Xenopus tropicalis: one gene and its partners. The protein of the gene in region 5 binds, or shares a complex with, the protein of the main gene of each other region. Links are inferred from orthologs where the notes say so. Each region holds a gene or a part of one and is shown on either strand. Other genes may lie near its edges. The genes, in order: irf2, zbtb16, banp, vgll4 and irf2bp2.

What was found.
Region 1: the proteins of irf2bp2 (region 5) and irf2 are in contact, whole or in part, in a crystal structure (PDB 8YTG), measured with the Homo sapiens proteins. The link is inferred for Xenopus tropicalis from reciprocal best matches to the Homo sapiens genes IRF2BP2 and IRF2. Residues at the interface, in NP_892017.2 of Homo sapiens: His517, Phe518, Val519, Gln520, Pro522, Phe531, Leu557, Trp564, Ala565, Phe566, Met567, Glu570, Thr573, Ile574; in NP_002190.2 of Homo sapiens: Arg331, Ala332, Ser333, Val334, Ile335, Lys336.
Region 2: the proteins of irf2bp2 (region 5) and zbtb16 are in contact, whole or in part, in a crystal structure (PDB 8YTH), measured with the Homo sapiens proteins. The link is inferred for Xenopus tropicalis from reciprocal best matches to the Homo sapiens genes IRF2BP2 and ZBTB16. Residues at the interface, in NP_892017.2 of Homo sapiens: Thr516, His517, Phe518, Val519, Gln520, Pro522, Phe531, Leu557, Trp564, Ala565, Phe566, Met567, Glu570, Thr573, Ile574; in NP_001018011.1 of Homo sapiens: Arg285, Ser287, Val288, Ile289, Thr290, Ser291.
Region 3: irf2bp2 (region 5) and banp share a complex: the UniProt entries of both Homo sapiens proteins name them as parts of the corepressor complex. The link is inferred for Xenopus tropicalis from reciprocal best matches to the Homo sapiens genes IRF2BP2 and BANP.
Region 4: the proteins of irf2bp2 (region 5) and vgll4 are in contact, whole or in part, in a crystal structure (PDB 8YTF), measured with the Homo sapiens proteins. The link is inferred for Xenopus tropicalis from reciprocal best matches to the Homo sapiens genes IRF2BP2 and VGLL4. Residues at the interface, in NP_892017.2 of Homo sapiens: Thr516, His517, Phe518, Val519, Gln520, Pro522, Phe531, Leu557, Trp564, Ala565, Phe566, Met567, Glu570, Thr573, Ile574; in NP_055482.2 of Homo sapiens: Arg161, Ser163, Val164, Ile165, Thr166.

The regions. Positions count from the first base shown.
Region 1 is NC_030677.2:44,894,972-44,898,486, reverse strand, and holds part of irf2 (interferon regulatory factor 2), read right to left. Parts: intron 2,630-3,515; coding exon 2,530-2,629; intron 494-2,529; coding exon 317-493; intron 1-316. UniProt on the Homo sapiens protein: Specifically binds to the upstream regulatory region of type I IFN and IFN-inducible MHC class I genes (the interferon consensus sequence (ICS)) and represses those genes. Also acts as an activator for several genes including H4 and IL7.
Region 2 is NC_030683.2:85,512,545-85,516,629, reverse strand, and holds the start of zbtb16 (zinc finger and BTB domain-containing protein 16), read right to left. Parts: upstream 2,816-4,085; 5' UTR 2,586-2,815; intron 1-2,585. UniProt on the Homo sapiens protein: Acts as a transcriptional repressor. Transcriptional repression may be mediated through recruitment of histone deacetylases to target promoters. May play a role in myeloid maturation and in the development and/or maintenance of other differentiated tissues.
Region 3 is NC_030680.2:65,855,083-65,858,597, reverse strand, and holds part of banp (protein BANP), read right to left. Parts: intron 2,238-3,515; coding exon 2,115-2,237; intron 404-2,114; coding exon 225-403; intron 1-224. UniProt on the Homo sapiens protein: Controls V(D)J recombination during T-cell development by repressing T-cell receptor (TCR) beta enhancer function. Binds to scaffold/matrix attachment region beta (S/MARbeta), an ATC-rich DNA sequence located upstream of the TCR beta enhancer.
Region 4 is NC_030680.2:151,267,993-151,271,507, reverse strand, and holds part of vgll4 (transcription cofactor vestigial-like protein 4), read right to left. Parts: intron 664-3,515; coding exon 474-663; intron 1-473. UniProt on the Homo sapiens protein: May act as a specific coactivator for the mammalian TEFs.
Region 5 is NC_030681.2:55,743,066-55,747,007, forward strand, and holds the start of irf2bp2 (interferon regulatory factor 2-binding protein 2), read right to left. Parts: upstream 2,807-3,942; 5' UTR 2,217-2,806; coding exon 1,325-2,216; intron 1-1,324. UniProt on the Homo sapiens protein: Acts as a transcriptional corepressor in a IRF2-dependent manner; this repression is not mediated by histone deacetylase activities. Represses the NFAT1-dependent transactivation of NFAT-responsive promoters.

The DNA of each region.
Region 1 (3,515 bases), on a different chromosome or scaffold from region 5:
ACATAAAAAAGGCCATATCTGGCATTAGCCAAAGAAGGCATGTTGGTCGGCAATGCAATAGGATGGGGGGGGGGGGGGTTACATATTTTGCAGTAAGTACCTTGAGGCAGTTACGTTAATGTTTTGAGCTAATCCTCCAAATAAATTTGAGGTGTTGAGGAAAAAAATGTTTTGGCACGGAGGATTAACCATGACATAGGCTCCCTATTCTGCCTGGTAAATACTGCTAAATCACTACAATCTCAAAAAGCAGCACATCACATATAATATTTGTAAGAAAACTATTAAAAAAAAAATAGAAATTCCAGAGGCGTACCTCTTTTTGATGGCCTTTCTGCTACTGGGATCATCCTGTACACCCTGAAAGCATTATTTCCTTTTTTCATACTTTTATCCTTAACTTCTTCAATGTCTGGTAAAGAGTTCATAGCACAGCGAAAGTTTGCTTTCCATGTCTTTGGGTCTGGCTTGTCTATTCCAGGTTGATACTTCCCTTCAAAAAAAAAAAAAAAAAAACCACAAACACAACTTGAGCAGGTATGACTATAAAAGCTTATCTGTAATTACATAAATGTATAGCATCACCTCTGATTATAAGGGCTGTGGCAGACGGAGAGGCTAGTCGCCCGCAAAAATTCTCCCTTGTTGCGGGCGACGAATCTCCCCAAAATGCCATCCAACCGGCGAGTATGTAAATCGCCGGTGGGATGGCATACGTGGCGCCGTGATTTCCCCAAAATCACAGCCCTAATAATCTAATATAGTAAGAACCACCCGCACCAGGGACAGGGAGACAGCAAGTGACACTGCAACTGACAATTTGAAGCCAGAATTGCTGTTGGTGTGTGTGTGTTTATATCAGGGGAGTTAACCAGACAACATGACTACTAGCAATCTCACCCACACTAGAAGTGCCTTCAGGCAAGCAGCAACCCCCTGTGATGGTTTATGCAGACTCAGACTGAATTACTTTGGTCAACCAAATCAATGACATACCCTTGATGATCTGATAAAATAGTTACAGCTTAAGGTGGCCATACACGCACCGATAATATCGTACAAAACCTCGTTTCGTACAATATTCGGTGCGTGTATGGTATGTCGGCGAGTCGACCGATATCGCAGGAAGCTGCTGATATCGGCCGACTCGCCGATCGGACCAGTTGCAAATTTTCGTTGGGCGCCATAGAAGGCGCTTGATAAAAATCTCCCTTCAGCGCTGAATCGGCAGAAGGAGGTAGAAATCCTATTGTTTCTACCTCCTTACCTGCCGATTCAGCCCTGAATGGTGTGTGGCACATCTGACGATGTTTCGATCGCCACGTGTATGGCCAGCTTTAGTCATTAGGATACTGTCTGTACATGTAAAGGACCTGTTATCCAGAATGCTTAGAACCTGGGTTTTTTTTGGATAAGTCTGTTAAAAAATCATTTAAACATTAAGTAAACCCAAAAGGATTGTTTTGCCTCCATTAAGGATTAATTGTATCAAGTACAAGGTTCTTTAGAAAAAAAAAATAATTATTTGCTTATAATGCAGTCTATAGGAGATGGCATTCCTGTAATTCAGAGCTTTCTGGATAACAGATTTCCAGATAACAGACCCTATACCTGTAAATAATATGCAGCCTTTCAGTTTTTGTTGTTTTTCTAAAAAAAAAAAAAAAACATATAGCAACAAATGCAGGTGGAACAATGGTTCAATTTAAGGGACCCATTTGTCCTAAATATGAGGAGTTGTTAACCTTTAAGCTAACTTTTAATATGTTACAGAATGTCTAATTCTAAGCAACTTTTCAATTGTTTCTTTTTTATAGTTTTTAAATTATTTGCCTTCTTCTTCTGCCTCCTTCCAGCTTTCAAACGGGGGTCACTGACCCCAGAAGCCAAAAAACGATTGGTCTACGAGGCTACAATTTTATTGTTACTGTTAGACCATTTTTCTATTAATATTCCAGTCTCTCATTCAAATCAAAGCCAGGTTGCTAGGGTAATTTGGGCCCTAGCAAGCAGATAGCTGCTGAAATACCAAGCTGGAGAGCTTCTACATAAAAAGCTAAATAATAATAAAAAAAAAAAAAAAAGACCAATTGCAAATTGTCTCAGAATAACTTAACTATTAGTATGATATACAGAGTGTAAAAGGTGAACAGCCCCTCTAGGCCTGTGGATAAACGCAGATCAAAAATTATCTCCTATGTTTGAATCATTCCAACCCATTGACTGCACCTGGAGCCACTGTGTTTCAGCACTGAAATCTGCTCCATGTGCCTGCACCCAGGCATGCCCCAACACCTCCCCCATTACTTGTCGATTTCCTGTCAGAGCAGGAAAAGAGGTTGAGGGGGTATCAATGTCTACACTAGAATAGTCAAAAAATGGAATTTGGCTGTTAATGTTACCAGAGGCAGCTTTTTGCAACCCCAATAATGTGCCATTTGAGGAAAGGTCACTTTGCCTCATGACTGAAACATGCATAGTCCAAAAATAAATATTTCATCCATAGAATATAATAAATGAAGTCAATACCTGTGTGTATAGCCCAGTTTCTGAATAAAGGAGCATCCTTATCAACATCCCAGCCATGACGAGCAGCATGCATCCATGGAATCTGAAATATCTTTTTCTCCTGAAAAGTAGATACAAAAGTCTATCAAATCATATCTAGCCAATTATTAACAGTCAAATTACATGTTTACTTTAATACCTTTACCAAAATCGGAAAAGTGAAATCATAGTCTTTTTTAAATAAGGGGGGTTGTTTATACAGAGGGCTTTCAAGGGACTGCTGATTTGTTTTGATTATGTGTGTAGAACCAGCAGAAAGTAAAATATAGATTTACTTTAAATTCATAGTTTCCTATTATTTTTTGTGCAACAAATATAAAAAAAAAATACATATTTCCTAATTAAACAATACGCATGTTCGGCACAAACCAAATACATTAAACCAATGTTGACAAAGGGGGTACATTATTAATAATAAACCAAAATAGCTTCATCTATGTGCGCCATTGAGAAGAGGAACTTTTAGCTTCTGTGCAAAATCAAAAGCTGATCAAAATTTGTCTGATCCTGATGAACCAAAATATTTTTGAAATTGCTGGTTCTTTAACTGAAATGAATGAATGAATGAAACTGAAGGGAGCAGAAGGGGACAGAGTGTAAAGAGAGCAAACTGTGACTATAAAAAAAGCATCACTCCAGTTGTGCAGGGCTGATATGGTATCAGCTCAGAAGCATGCTGCGGGCCTTTAAATCTGCAATAGCAGCAAAATGCAAGAAGAAGAAGCAAAATGCCCCATATTCATTATACTACTCATCTGTACTGGCTCTGACTGGCAGCATCTGTACAAACTACAATATTTCTATCTGAAAATACCTCTCAGTGAATATATCCACTACTACAACTTAAATAAAACAAGAAAATGCAAGAATGAGTGGAAAGCTAAAGAGTCACAGTTCCTACTCATTGTCACTGAATTTGCTACCAGCATACAGACAAGTCAGGCAAT
Region 2 (4,085 bases), on a different chromosome or scaffold from region 5:
ATGAAGTGATAAAATATGGGCTACAGTTTACCTCTATCCATAAAAGAATTCTATTTCTGCAGACTTTTATGGGTGCGTAAGCGTTTTACAGAAGAAACTGCTAAGTCTCTGTTAAAAAACACGCAAATTTTCAAGAACAAGCAAAAAAAGCAATTGAGGCAGCAAGTTATGGTTTATGTACTGTATAAAGAATAAAGCAAAGCGAGCTCTGCCCATGACGATGCCCATGCAAATGCCCATACAGGAGAAGGTTTGTTACAAACAAGGACACCAGCCTGGAGGTTTGCAACAAGGACAAACAGATCTATTGGTTTCAGTTGTGAGTCTCCTGTTTGTTTTTCTTTGGACAGGGGATGGGAGGAAGGGTGGGGGGGTCGGAAAGACACCCTGTGACAGAACAAAGCTGCTTTTGATGAGCTGGAAGGGTTAATTAGTGAACTATTAAAAGTTCTTTATCAGTTGTGTATTGCCAAGATTTAGCCTATTTAAACCCCTGGCACATCAAGTTTTTGGAAATCATACATGTTGCATAAAAACCCATGATAGCATAAATAACATGAAGATTAGATCACACGGATATTAACCCTTGTTTGGAGGAAAGACGTTTTAATGGTGGGGGGGTTCAAAATAAGTAAAATATGAGGCAATGTGACAAGATGTCACTTAATAATAAGAGCAGCTCAGTTAGGGCAACCTGAGGTGAAGGGCCAACAAATCAGGGTTATCCAACCTGCAGCCCCTTCAGCTGCTGTGAAACAACAACTCCCAGCACCCTCCTACTGGTGATGCTACGAGTTGTAGTAGAGCAACAGCTAGAAGGTTGCAGGCTAAAATCAGTGAAATGTATACTGACAATATCCTGCAATTGTCCTCTCTGCCGTACCCCACCTCCAATATACAGTGACAGAAATGTAGAGAGCACCAAATACTGACGCGGGGCTTTTAGCGCACGGAGCCCGGTATCCAGCTCAAAGATTCGTATAGAATGGAATTAGCGGCCAGACCGATCCAGATAGATCGCACTGTACAGACAGATACAGCAGGGATACAGGGGCGGGGCAGTTTCATAACAAAATTCTGGATAGAATTGAGAACATGATGTTTTATGGGGAGAGAGGGAAGCAATGGAAAGCACACATATGAATGAAATCTACAGGAATAATACTAAAAATGCACAAAAATAAAAATATTCCACGAGAAAAGGGGAGCGGAGGGAAAAGCTCGGGTTTTCATTCAACAGATGAAATGCAAAGAGACAGTGGGAATGGCAAGATATTGATGTCACAATCCAAGGGTGATCAAACGCAATTTTCTATTGTTTATCTATATAAAACGCAATAAATCACAGTTTCTCTATAGAATCCCATCTCCCGAAAGAAAACCTGGACCAGCAGACACAAACAAGTGCAAACACCATGCCCGTCTCAGAGCAGCAGCAGGAAAGCGAAATCTCACTGTCTCCCTGCAGCGCACGGAATTTATTCTAAGAAATGATATTGTCTCCCTGCAGCGCACGGAGGAGTCTGCACCTTACAGCGAAATAGCGCCATGCCCCCTGCATTGCACAAAGCGCTTAAAGTTAATCCCAATGTGCGTGAGTTGCTCAATGGTAGGGCAGCGGGGCTCTCAGAATCAGTGTGCGACATTATGATAACACTAACAATAATCAATGTGCACCCACTGGGACAGCCTGCGCCTAGGATGGCAGGACAGCGCTGGGGCTAAGGGATGCCCTATTGTGCCTTGTAGAAAAGCGATCTGTATTAGTACCAGATGTGGATCTGTACGAATTCTAATCCAAGATGATGAACTGTATCGCAGCCTTTCCTGCAGTGCACAATAGAGCATCCCTCAAATCAGTATTCGCAAGCCATAGCTCTGTCAGTACTCAGTAAGTGTGCACCTCACCGGCTCTCTATCCTCACCTAATAATAGTGATCATAAGGATAATAACGGGGCTCCTGTGTGCCGGGAGTGTGGCGGCGCATACACAATTAGCGCTATCCTGCCAATAAGCAGCTAATTCGGGATTTCTGATGAACTTTTCCAGCGCTTTGTGCCATGCAGAGCGCACGGATCTCACACAGCAGCAGCTGAAGTTGACTTGGGATCACTATAAAAAGTGATGGAGGGAGAGCACTTAACGTGCACAACTAAACCCGTACAGGACAATAATATGCTTGCATTGTCAGTGTAAAGGGGAAACAGACAAACGTCATGAAGTATGCATGTACCCAGCGCAACTCCGACTTTCCGGAGCCTGAGCAATGCAAGCTCCCCTCAGTGTAAGTGCAAGCATGGCTATAGACACAGACGTGACCTACCCACCCTCGGCTAGGGTTACCTTTCCCACAATGTCCAGACAAGCGGAGGCTGCCGAGGTACAGTGAGAACTATAACGCAGCAAGGTCTCAGGTTGAGCATGCTTGTATCAGAACACTATAACCCAGCGTATTGTATTACTGTACTCAGCCACTCAATCCAATCACAGCCTCTTGTAGCCGCTATCAATAAGAAATGCCCTTATGATAAGTTTAGGGAGTAGCTCACTTTGTAGGAATAAAAGGCTCACTAGCTGCACTCACCTCAGATGGGCTTCTTCCTTTGCTAGCTCTCTCTGCAGGCATGTATGTGAGTAGAGATGCGCTGTTTAAAGCAGCAGCCTAATCCAAACAGTTCGCAGTGCCCGCTCTCATGCTCACTAACTCCTCTCTCCTTTAAGGTTAGCAAATCAACACAACGATGACGTCAGGCCGGCGCCTGGCCCACGTGACTCTCTCTCCCCATGCTGGAGCGGCCGGCCGCCATGCTTACTCCTGGCTAGGAAGGAATGGAAGGTTGGTGTCAGTCAAGAGTGGTTGGAAAGGGAGCATCAGGTGCTCTGAAGATTCAAGCGGCAGGGAATCGGCGGGTTTCAGTGTGGGTTAGACATAATAGTTCTCGGCAAGGCGGTAGTTTATGGAATTCTGTGGGTAGAGAATAACAGCGCAGCCTTGTCATGAGCCGAGACCTCGCAGCATTTCCATTCATTAAGTACTGAACCGTGAATGCTAATGTGTCTGTAGGGGTAACAACAGCGAGTGCTTCTATATACAGTAATAAATAGTCTGCGTTCTCTTGTTAAAGGAATACTATAATCACATAGGTCCCCTTACTTGTACCCGGTGTATTCTGTCTGCGCTTTCAGAAGTGTCCTTTAGACATTCCACTGTGGCTGCTTGGTTCCTTTACCATATTTAACTGTCTTATCTAAAGCCCATTGCTAATGAGGGTCTTTAAAAGAACAGTGGCGTTATACAATTCGTTTTGTGATTTTTTTCATTCTTATAAAGGAAGGTACAGTTGACCCAGGGACATGAATACTAGGAGACACATTCGATCCTACATTGTATATAGGGGATCAAATGGTGTGAGTGAGGCTTGGTGCCCACCTTCTCCTTAAATGAGGTTCATGTAAGGCAGGACAAATGAGAGATCAAGTATAGCATTAATGTGTATATTAAGGGCCCTTACACATGGTTTTTTTTTTTCTTACATGTTTGAGATGCTGGTTGGAACGCACTTAAAGGGGAACTCTGGCTTTGGAACCAACATTTTTAAAAGAGCCCCACATATCACTGAATAAATACCATTTTTATATGCTGAAATCAAGCTGCAAAACAGTTCTTCCCTTTCTGCATCATTTGCAGGGGAGGAGGGACTAAAACACATGTTAAAAAAAAAAAAAAAATTCTCCACAGCTTACAGACAGAATGCAGGAACTACATTACCCACAAAGCACTGTGATGTTCTTTTCCTTATTGACATCACGTGTGCAGGGAATTGTGAGATTTGGAGGATTCAGGCTGAGGACAGTCGACTACTGTTAAATTTTTATTTTTAATCTCAAAGTAGTCAGCCAGATCAGCAGGAGAACAGGGGGCCAGGCTTAGGTACCTGTTCCAAACCATATTATTACATTAAAAATCATCAAAAGATGCATATTTTTGAATTGATGTATATTGCAAAGTTGCTTGAAATTATGTTTATTTTTCAAAAAGCTTAATTTGTGTTTGGCGCGGAGTTCCCCTTTAAATGCATCAAAT
Region 3 (3,515 bases), on a different chromosome or scaffold from region 5:
TATGGCTGTATTTACATAGACCTTTCTAATAAAGCTTACTTAGTTTTTACCTTTCCTTCTCCTTTAAGGGGAAAACAAATTTTTATTGTTGGCAGTGGAATTAAAAAAAAAAAAAAAAAAAAACTAATTTGGAAAATGTTTTTAGTGATTTAGGCAGTTCTAATTTGGAAACTTGTCCGAAGGTGAAAAACCCCAATAATTGAAAGCTAAACATAATGACATACCTTCAGAATTTAAGGTGATCAGGGTGACATTGTTGCCCATATTTGGGTTTCCTGAATTACCGCAATTAGACAGTGTATCACTAGCCTCAGAACCACTGTCATTGTCATCATCATTGTGGCTGTCCTCAGGGGCAGGAACTTTCACTACAATTGTGTTGTGTCTTCTTCCAGGAACTGCACTGAAATGTAGAGTAATATTTTTTTTTTAAAAAACTCCCATACTATAGCAACACAATAAGCAACAAATATTGTACTATAAAAACTTGATAGCAAAACTAAGAAAAGTTCATATTTGTTGTCATAGCAACATGCAGAATAACTACACCCATCATCACCTTTGTAATAATACTGTAAACAAAAAAGCTTAAAAGCTGTATTAAAAGCTGTAATATGTACAGGGTGACATAAAATGTTTTGTATTACTAAAAAAAAAGATTAAAAACATTAAATATTGTTAGAAGTGGTTGGGAGAAAAGCCATCAGGTTACATTTTGAATTAATATCATTTCATACAGTGGCAACATAATAATTAGCAACGATTGCTCATCCTTTACATCACACTCTGCCTTGTGAACACCGATACATTGGTGCTGCATGAATGTAGAGAAATCAGTACTTCCCCAAAAATGCATTTTTCTGCATGCAACATTGTTTCATAGATAGTCACAAATCAAGAGTATTTTAAGTGAATCCAATTTAAAGGGAAGATTTAATAAAAAGAGATAGAGAAAACTAAAACAAGATTTATATCCTGCAGGGCTAAATAATACCTTTGAATTGCCCCTAATCAATCTCTCTCAAGAATCATTGGCTACAATGAAGATGAAGGAGATAAAGAGTCACAAGTAATGTGTTGGACTGGGCCGCCGGAGCACTAGGAAAAAACCCAGTGGGCCCTGGCAAGCCAGACTTGATCCCAGCAGGGTGCACCACTAATCCGCCAGTTTAATTTAGGCACGATTGATTGGTAAAACTGTTTTGTCTATTAAAGGGGTGGTTCAACTTTAAGTTAATTTTTAGTTACAAAATGACCTAATCCTAGCAACTTTGCAACTGGTTTTCATTGTCTATTTTTTATAGCCTTTTTAATAATTAACCTTCCTCTTCTGACAGTTTTTAAGTGGTGGTCACAGACCCTAAAGGTGGCCATACACGCTAAGATCCGCTCACTGGGCGATCAAGATTTGGCCGATTTCCGGCCAGATGTTGGTCGGGCAGGCCCGTCGTTAATGGCCATACACGAGCCGATAAACTGCCGAAACGGTCTAAGGGACGAATATAGGCAGCTAGAATTGGCCCGTGTATGGCCACCTTAACAGTCTAAAACTATTAGTTATTTTTACTAATAAACTAAGTTTAAGTAACTTTAAGTTTTAATAACTATTTTACATTTAGTTGATTGTTCACAGTAACACTCTTCAATACAGAGCAAATTCCATATTTAGAAGGAATCCACAGTTTAATACACAGGATTTAATTATCTTCATTAATTTTCTTTAAAAAATGCAGTAAAAAGGCTTTAATAATGAGTTTTTAGAAAAAGGGGGCATAACATTCCTGCTCTGAAAACCTTATTTACATATTAAGCAGCCATATTGCTTACCTAAGCAGATGAGTACCTGTAAAAGGAGCAAAAGAACAAAACTACAATTATAGCAAGAGGTGCTTTGTAAGAGGACATTGCCAGACAAGAAACAGATGGGACAGAAACAATTTCCCACTCCTCTTACCAAAGTAGATATAGTTGACCTCAATTATCATAGTCATTTGTGAAGAAATAGGTTATTTACACTTATAATAAAGATGCATGTTAAAAAAAAAAAAACTAACTATGGTTAGATTCATCTTTTGGTGTCGGGGGAGGCTAGAAGATAAATAATAAACTATTACCTATTCAGCATGTTTTCAAGGGTTTCTGTTGAACTGTTTATAGACTCTTCGCGACCCTCCAGTTTAGTCACACCTGGGGTTTGTCTTTCACTGTTCAGTATTACTGTAGTCTGCGGTACAACACTAAAAAAAGAAACAGACATTTTAAGTGGTTTTAATGTCACAGGGTCCAAATACTTTAAGCTATTGGTAATGAAGTAAACATTTTACTAGAAATCCATATTTACATAGACGAAAAGGGACAAAAATGCTACTGCAAATATTCATCAAATGTTGCATGCTTTTATATAATTAAATGGTGAAGATTTTTCATATTTAAAAAAAAACAAAAAAAGCCATTCTGCTCTGTTTTATATGCATTCAACTAGGATGTCAACCATTTACAGTCATCATTCAGCTTGACACAGAATAGTCTGTGAGTATGTACAAAAGAATGCTGGTTATAAGAGTGATAGAGCCTAGGTACATACACAAATGGTCACAAATTAGAAGCCAACAAGTTACACAAACAATCTATTTCTCCTTTAATCTGGACTAACACAAGAGTAAAAGGTTAGTTTTAGAAGATTTCAGTAGTTATTTTATTACTCAAAAAGAGACACTTTCAACAAAACCCATACAGCCAGCAAATGGTTTTGGTTTCAATATTTTGCCAAAAATACTTAGTAAGAATTTAGTTTTTCAAGTGCAAATTTAAATATTCTTACTTTTTCTTATGGTAAGAGAAGCCTAGTTGAGTAATCAGCTTTTTCAGTAAATGCTAAGTTTTTTTTTCCAGCCTGTGAATATCCTTCCTGTGTGTCCAGGTCTGATGACCAAGTTTGCGAATGGGAAACCTTGTTTCATCAGCTTCATCGCAGAAGTCTTGAAACCAAAACTTTGACTGCATTTTTTTTCTTAGTTTCAGTGCAGTTTAATTTACACATTACACATTTTCAAAGTCCTATAAAACTACTAATATTCCTAGCCTGTGCCAAATGGTGCTTCATAAAGGCAGGATAATGAGTTATCATCAATTCTCTGCATGTCACAGCGGGATCAGGTGATTTACACCACTAATTGGCATGTAAACAAAAGAAAAGGACAGATCAAAAAGTTAGCACTATATTACAAGTACTAGATTCAACATTTTCACCATTTTTGAAAGAGACATAAGCTGCCACTTACAGGGTTAGACAGATGCTATCATTTTTAACTTGCATTTTCTAATAAAAAATATAAAACAATTAATGCTTTATTATTTAACCCTACCTAAACTAAGCTCATGGTTATGGCTTTGACTGAGTTGGCTCTCTGTCTGTGGCTGGAGGGCTATAATCTTACCATCTCATCCACAGCCTTTCTATTGTTATGGTTCCCTAATAAGAAGCTGTAAGATGCAAAGCCTAGAAGTAAAATGGA
Region 4 (3,515 bases), on a different chromosome or scaffold from region 5:
CTTACAATCTAAGGTCCCTATCCCATTCCCATCAGTCCCTGCCCCAGTGAGCTTACAATCTATCATCAATATTGCATTCCCATTAGTGCCTGCCCCAGAGGAGCTTACAATCTAAGGTCCCTGTCACATTCACACACACTATGGGCAATTTAGTTAGAAGCCAATTAACCTGCCTGTATGTTTTTGGAGCATGGGAAGAAACTGGGGGACCCAGAGGAACCCACACAGACACAGGGGGAACATACAAACTCCCCGCAGATAGCACCCTGGCTGGGATTGAACTCAGTACCCCGGCGCTGCAAGGTATGAGTGCTCCCCCCGTGCTATTAATGATAACACAAATATGAATTATTTTTATTATTGTTTATATGCACCCTAAAGGCCTAGCAAAGCAAATTCCAGGGGGCTTTATGGGGTGCATTCCCAAGTATAGAGGAAACAACCATGCCATATTGTATCCCAGGGGAACTTACAAGTGCGGAGGAAACATCCGACTCATTTTGGAGACATGGTCGTTGTCACATTCTAGCTCCTCGTCTCCTTGGTCCATGCTGAGCTTTCGTTTGCTGGGGCTGATGGGGGGTGGGGCTGTCCGGGGAATGGACAGAGCAGAGGTCATGGGGAGGGGCTGCACCCTGGGGTCACTCCGTAACGCCGCTTCCCCTGTGGAAAGAACAGAAAATTCAGGTGAAACCGTGGCCATTGGCTGTGGGTGACACAGAAATAGAGAGAGAACCGGATGATCTGCAAATACGTGAACCCCGATATTTAATAGGAAATAGTGCAAAACAGATCCGATGCTGAAACGGAGACATCCTATTGTTTCTGGAAATTTGCAATTTGTTGCCAACAACCAGTTGGGGGGTGAGGGGCATGTTCCCCACTGCGCTGCACCCCCTTTTCTTTCCCCAACACTCTGTAACCATTTTGGAAACAAGGAGCTTGTATTTGTGGGTGCAGTGGGGGCAACTGGGTTCCCAATGGACTTTGGCCCGAAGATCCCAGCACCCAATATTGGTTTTGGATTCTCCGGATTCTCTATCTTTTAATGATATTACATACTGTAGGGGATGGACTCCCCAAGTTCTTTGCAATTTTATGTTGCCCCCCCATACAGTGTGTCACAGAGCGAGCTCCCACCCCCATCTTTTCTTCTGAGAGACCCCCCTGCCTCTCTGGGATCCACTCTTTTTAGCATTAACAGCTTTCCTGCTTTTATTGCCCCCTGCCCAACTTTTTGGAGTGTGTTGCTGCCCTCAAATTCAAAATGAGCAGAGATTTTTCAGAATCAATAAATCCCCGTTTCGCTACTAAATATCAGGGTTCGTTGATTTGCAAATAAATGGGTTCTTTTCTTGGAGATTAGAGGTTTGTATAATGCCAAGTGGTTTTACTCGGCCTGCCTTGGCTAAGTGTACTTATCCCTACCCCCCAGAGGAATATTGGGGCAAGACTGAGTAAATACAAGGAGTTGGCCATAGGTCGGGCAGCTTTACTTTATAGAAATACTGACGGCTGCAAAGCCCGACTTCCCCCGGTGCCGCCACTAAACACAGCCCTGTAAAGAAAGGTTTATTTACACTGTACCGGAATATCTCCTCAGCGGTGACTCTGCCCAAGATAAACGCCTGCCCGCCCCCAGCACAAACACGGCCGTGCCAACCCAGACAGCAAGCAGCGACCCACAATCCATCCCAGGCCTGATCTGGCACCCACAGCCGTCTGTAATTTTCCACTTCCAGCCCAGCGGAACGGAGCCGGCAGAGAAGGCATTGGCTGGCTCCAGGTTGGATAAGGGATAATAGGAATAATGGGATCTTTATCCAGATACAGATTGTGCCGGGCTGCCCAGGGAACCAGCCGTGTATGGGCACTACTGACGGGCCTGCCCGACCGATATCTGGCCTGAAATTGGCCAGATCTCGATCGGGCAGGTTAGAAAATCTAGTCGAATAGGGGACCGCATTGGCTCGTTGATGTGGTCCCCGGACCGACTTTTGCTATGCCCGTCGTTAGAATTCGATCGTTTGGCCCCAGGGGTGAATCTGCCCGTGTATGGAGACCTTTAGGTTGAAGATACACGGGTCGATTAGTTGATGCAAGTTTTTAAAAAGTCGCTGCAACTAATTGGCGTACCGCAATTACTAATTTGCAGCAAATAATTAGTTGCAGCAACTTGTACATTAGTACAGGTCAGCTAAATCGATGCAATTAGTTGAAGCGATTGTTGTTGCAGCGACGAATCGCCCCATGTGTCTTTGCCCTAATGGAGAAGACACACGGAGCTACTAGTAGCAGCTACTAAAACAGACAATGCTGATCATTTACTGATAATTGTCCCTACGTGTGTTTAGCAGAGGCAATTCTCAGTATTGTCTATGGCAGGGGATATTCTGGCATTTAGTTGCCGTGACAAGTAGCTGCTACTAAGTAGCTCTGTGTGTCTTCGCCCTTTACCCTACATAAGCAGCTGTTTGTACTTTGCCAGCCTTGGACTATAATGCACCTTCCCGTAGCAGTGCCAGCGGATCCTTTGAGCCCAAGACGCCCAGACACTCATTTCCTGCCATTCTTATTCCCATTGGTGCAGACGCACAGAGATAACGCTCCAGCTTTTATACAGAAGGGACATGAGGGAAAGGCCAAGTGAATTCAGTGGCGGAGAAATACAGGATAATGAGAAGAATGAAACCTTATCCACAAGTGGGAGTTGGGCGCCCAAAAGAGAAACGGCACAGGGAGGCACGGATACAGAGCACCAGCCCTCCTGTAACTTACAAAGCAGATTTATTGCCTCAGTCGCTGGAAATGAACCCGGCCAGACTATAAATACGAGTGCAGGGAATCCCCTTCCCAAGGCCACAGCCAACCGTAGGTTACAGAAATGCTGTTGTGCAAAGGGTTAAAACCTCAACATGCAAAGTAAATCTGGGGATTAAGTGACTGCGGGTGAGTTTAAGGTGAGCCCGGGGTTTGTGTGTTACTCGCGCAGAGCAAATACACACGTAAGAGGGTGAGATTATAATCCTGTATATAGAGGCCAGGGGGTGAGATTATAATCCTGTATATAGAGGCCAGGGGGTGAGATTATAATCCTGCATATAGAGGCCAGGGGGTGAGGTTATAATCCTGGATATAGAGGCCAGAGGGATAGATTATAATCCTGTATTTAGAGGCCAGGGGGTGAGATTTTAATCCTGTACATAGAGGCCAGGGGGTGAGGTTATAATCCTGGATATAGAGGCCAGGGAGTGAGATTTTAATCCTGTACATAGAGGCCAGGGGGTGAGGTTATAATCCTGGATATAGAGGCCAGAGGGTCAGGTTATAATCCTGTTTATAGAGGCCAGAGGGAGAGATTATAATCCTGTATATAGAGGCCAGGGAGTGAGATTTTAATCCTGTACATAGAGGCCAGGGAGTGAGGTTATAATCCTGTTTATAGAGGCCAGAGGGAGAGATTATAATCCTGTATATAGAGGCCAGGGAGTGAGATTTTAATCCTGTACATAGAG
Region 5 (3,942 bases):
TCACTCAAAAGGCAGGAAAGACATATGTTTACATTTATGCCAGATTCTAAAATCTGTCAAAAGTGTTCACGCTATATTATTCCCATAAACATAAATTGCTTTCCAACTTTAACTTCACACATCAAATACAGAAGATTCGTATACACTGCAATGGATTAGACTTTTTAAAAAAGCAGCTTTAAAGGGACAAGTCTTATTAAAATGTTTTGAATGTCTTAACAGCAGGCAAACAGGCCCATACAAGAAAACCATCCACAAAAGATATGTTAAATATTCACTAGATGGCTCCTACCCCTTACAGTGAAGTACAAATTCTGTCTACTGCAACTGATGGTGAAATGTGAAAGGATACCTTATACACACACACTTACTAAGAGTGGAAATTTCCATTCCTTATACATACTGCTTCTGACAAACAGTGTAAGAACTGGTTATTGCTATTCTGATTAGTAACCCCTATTTTAAACCAAATATACTATGTTTATTCTTAAAGACATAATACTGTAAAACATTTAAAGTTAGGGTGACGACAATAGACAATGCTGATCATTTACTGATAATTTTCTCTGCATGTTTTAGCAGAGGGATTTCTCAGTATTATATATGACTGGTTATTTTCAGGCATTTAGTAGCCATGACAAGTAGTTGCTACTGAGTAACTGTGTGCCTTCACCCTGAAGTAGCAGGGCATATGTTGAGCAACATGTCATTAGAAAATGACCAAATCTGCCTACACAAAGTTCTAATTGCCCCCCCCCCCCCCAAAGAAAAAACTAAACAATTAGCAAGCTGATAAATAGCAATGAAATGGGTGGAAGTTTGACAATGCCCAGAGACTATGAAAATCTAAAATCATTTCAGCCTTGTCCCTGAGAGTTTTTATCCAATGAAGGTTTGCACACAGAGATACAGCCATATAAAAGAGAAAACGAGTAGAGAAGCTAATCTTACTAAACAGTAAAAGGGCGAATGACTAAAACAGAGGAAACTTTAGAAGTCCCCGACCCTTGCAAATTGCTAGATCAGCAGATAAACACGTTGCATGTATGCTGCGGGTCTGACTTTAGGGCAGGGCACAGAGCCTGATGGGTGCACCCTTTCGGTGCCGGCATGTCCTGCACATGGCATCCTATACTCCAAGCCGTGTGCCAATAGCAGGAATGTCTGCACTCCCTTCAGCCCACCTATTTAGCAAGAGACCGCAGTATCAGTGCAAGGCTGAGTTCACGACCATGTAAAAAAGCCCCGTTACATTTATGTGAAATACGAATTTCCCTCGCTACAGTCTAGGTGCCAACCATGAACACATTGGAGAGCCTCATACCAGATTTGGAAGCGGGGTTGTTGGCTTCAAAGCTCAGCACCCTTCCGGGCCCGGGGTCCTTCTTGAATTTGGAGTCAAAGGGCGAGTGGCTGTGCTGCATGGCCATCAGAGTGTCCCTGACCGTCTTGGGCTTGCTGATCCACTCCTCGGCCCTGCTCTTGTGGTTCTCGCCCAGCTCTGAGTAGCTGTCGGCCCTGTGCTTCTCCTTGCCATCGTGCTCACTGCTGGAGACAGAGCCCGGCCGCTTGCCAGACAGGTCCGCAGAGGTGGTGGCGGCGGCGGCTGCCACCAAAGAGGCCGCAGAGAGTCCGACTGGTGTCCGGCCGCTGCCAATGGGGGCGCCGTTCATAAGTGCGCCGAGGGACTGAGGCACCGAGCTAGTCCTGCGCGGGTTGGGGCTCTGCCGGTTTAGTTCCGGCGGCTCCTCTGGCTTCGGGAAGCCGTTGGGTAAGAGAATCCCATTCACTTGCCTGCCAACGCCATATTCCGATCCCAGACGAGGGGGCGGCGGTCTCTCCAGCGAGTAGCGGTCCAGGCACTGCGGAGGAGGGGGCTGCTGCGAGGTCCGTGTTACCCCCTCGGGGCCCCCCATCGTGTGCCCGATCTGCGCCATCTCCTTTGCGCTGAGCTGCGGCTTGACTGAAGAGGAGGAGGAAGATGACGAGGAGGATGAAGGCGAAGGCCCGGGGGACCTGCCCTCCTGGAACCCGTGCGCCCGCTTCAAGTGCCGGGCCGTCTCGATGACAAACTCAATGCGATCGGCCCCTTCGTAGTTGACGCAGCCCCGGCACACGGGCTCCGTGAAGTCCCAAATCATGGCCCATGGCATGCGTGGCAGGTCGCAAAGGTAACACGACTGCCGCCGGGAGGCGGCCACCGTCGCCGACGACATAACAATAAAATTATAATCCACCGTTTATTATTTGTGTGTGTTCTGTCCAGTAAATAGGTATATTCCAAATTTGGAAATCGGCGCAATTTTCCTCCCCTGCAACCCGTATGATGGATGATCCTTGCACTGAAAAGAAAATGGTCGGGCTCAGCCTCGAGGAGCGGGGCGGCGGCGCCCTCCGCCTCGGCTGCTGCTGGCGATTCCGGCTTGAAGCATACACACTACGCCCAGCTCTGGATCCACGGGAGGAGGAGGAATTATTATATATTTTTTTTCTGAAGTGCTTCTCCCTTCTCTCGCTTTCCTCAGCTGCACAGCTCCAGGGAGGGAGGGAGAGGAGGGGGGAGGGGAGCCGGCCCGGTGATAGGCTGCTGCTTCAGTCACCAGAGCGGCCCCCCCTTCCCTGAACTGCCAGGAGCTCACAACAACTCGGGGCTAACCCTTTCGTGCACTTGGTGAGCGCCGAACAAATATAATGTGTTGCCGGAGCGAAACAGGAAAATGTCCTCACGTATGGGACAGTAATTCTACAGCCGCCGAAGCCACTGCTGTAGTTTCCCGCCTCCCTCTCTGGCCGCCGCCGCAGCTAGCAGTGCCGCTAAAGGGTGGTGACGTCACGGTCGAGCCAACCGTTGTGATTCCAAGTTCTCTGTTTACTTGATTCTTCGACAGTCCCCGGCCAACCACCACCCCCTCCGCGCAGGCGCACTTAGTGTAACTGACGTACCCGCCCACGCTTCTTCACCCTATTCTCCCCACCCCCCCCCTTCCGTCTTCTTTGAACTGCTGCCAAGACAACAAACAAGAGCTGCAACAGGACGAGAAGCACTGACTCAGTTACTATGCCCTGTTGCAAGAGCTGGGAGAAAGGAGGCGGAGGGGAGGGAGAGGAGGAAAAAGACTTGGATGCGCGTGATGCAAACGTAGGCTTTAATTGTATTCGCAGAAATGAATTTATAGTTCATTTTGTGGCAGTGAAAGCCCACTACCTATGGCCTGGGTCTCCGCAGAATACGGTCCAATTACACGCATACCCTTTCGCGCAGTACAATAATTGGGGGTCCTGAATAATGTCTAAGTTGGATTTTGACATTTAATTGTGTGGTTTGTCCATGGGGCAAACATAAAAGGGACAAAATCGCCAAATTACACCATGTATATACTTTCTCTTTAAACGTACCCAATTGTGCCACAACACGCCATATTTAGTGCGAGTCAGTCCCTCAGGTGTAATATCAAAGTGAATGGAAAGAAAAACAGGCAAATAATGATTAACCAATGTGGAGTCGAGGGAAACCAAAGTCCTTCCAGAAATATCCTGCTCCTCGCCCTCCCTCTCATGTGCACTAGTTTCAGGCAAGGCCCGCCCTCTCCCAAAGGACACTCTTTAACTACTTGTTCACTTTATAAACTCGTTATCCAGCCAGCATTTATCACTGTTGGTTTTTCCATTCCTTCTGCAATTAAAACTGGAAAGTGCCTTATTTTCCTCCCTCTCCTCCCCCCGCCGCCGCCTGGTATTAAGGGTGCTGAATCACTTAGCCAAGGGCGCTTGAGTTAGCAGGAAAAGAGCGAGGTCAGAGCAGAGAGTGCAGCGAGCGGCTTACAAAACACATTGCAATTGTAACGTGTGCTGTGGGGGGAGGGGGCGCTAGTCCCTTAACCCCCTCTCTTCCGTAATGATTCATGAGGGAACCTTCAAAGGTTCTAATGAAGGAATGAAACG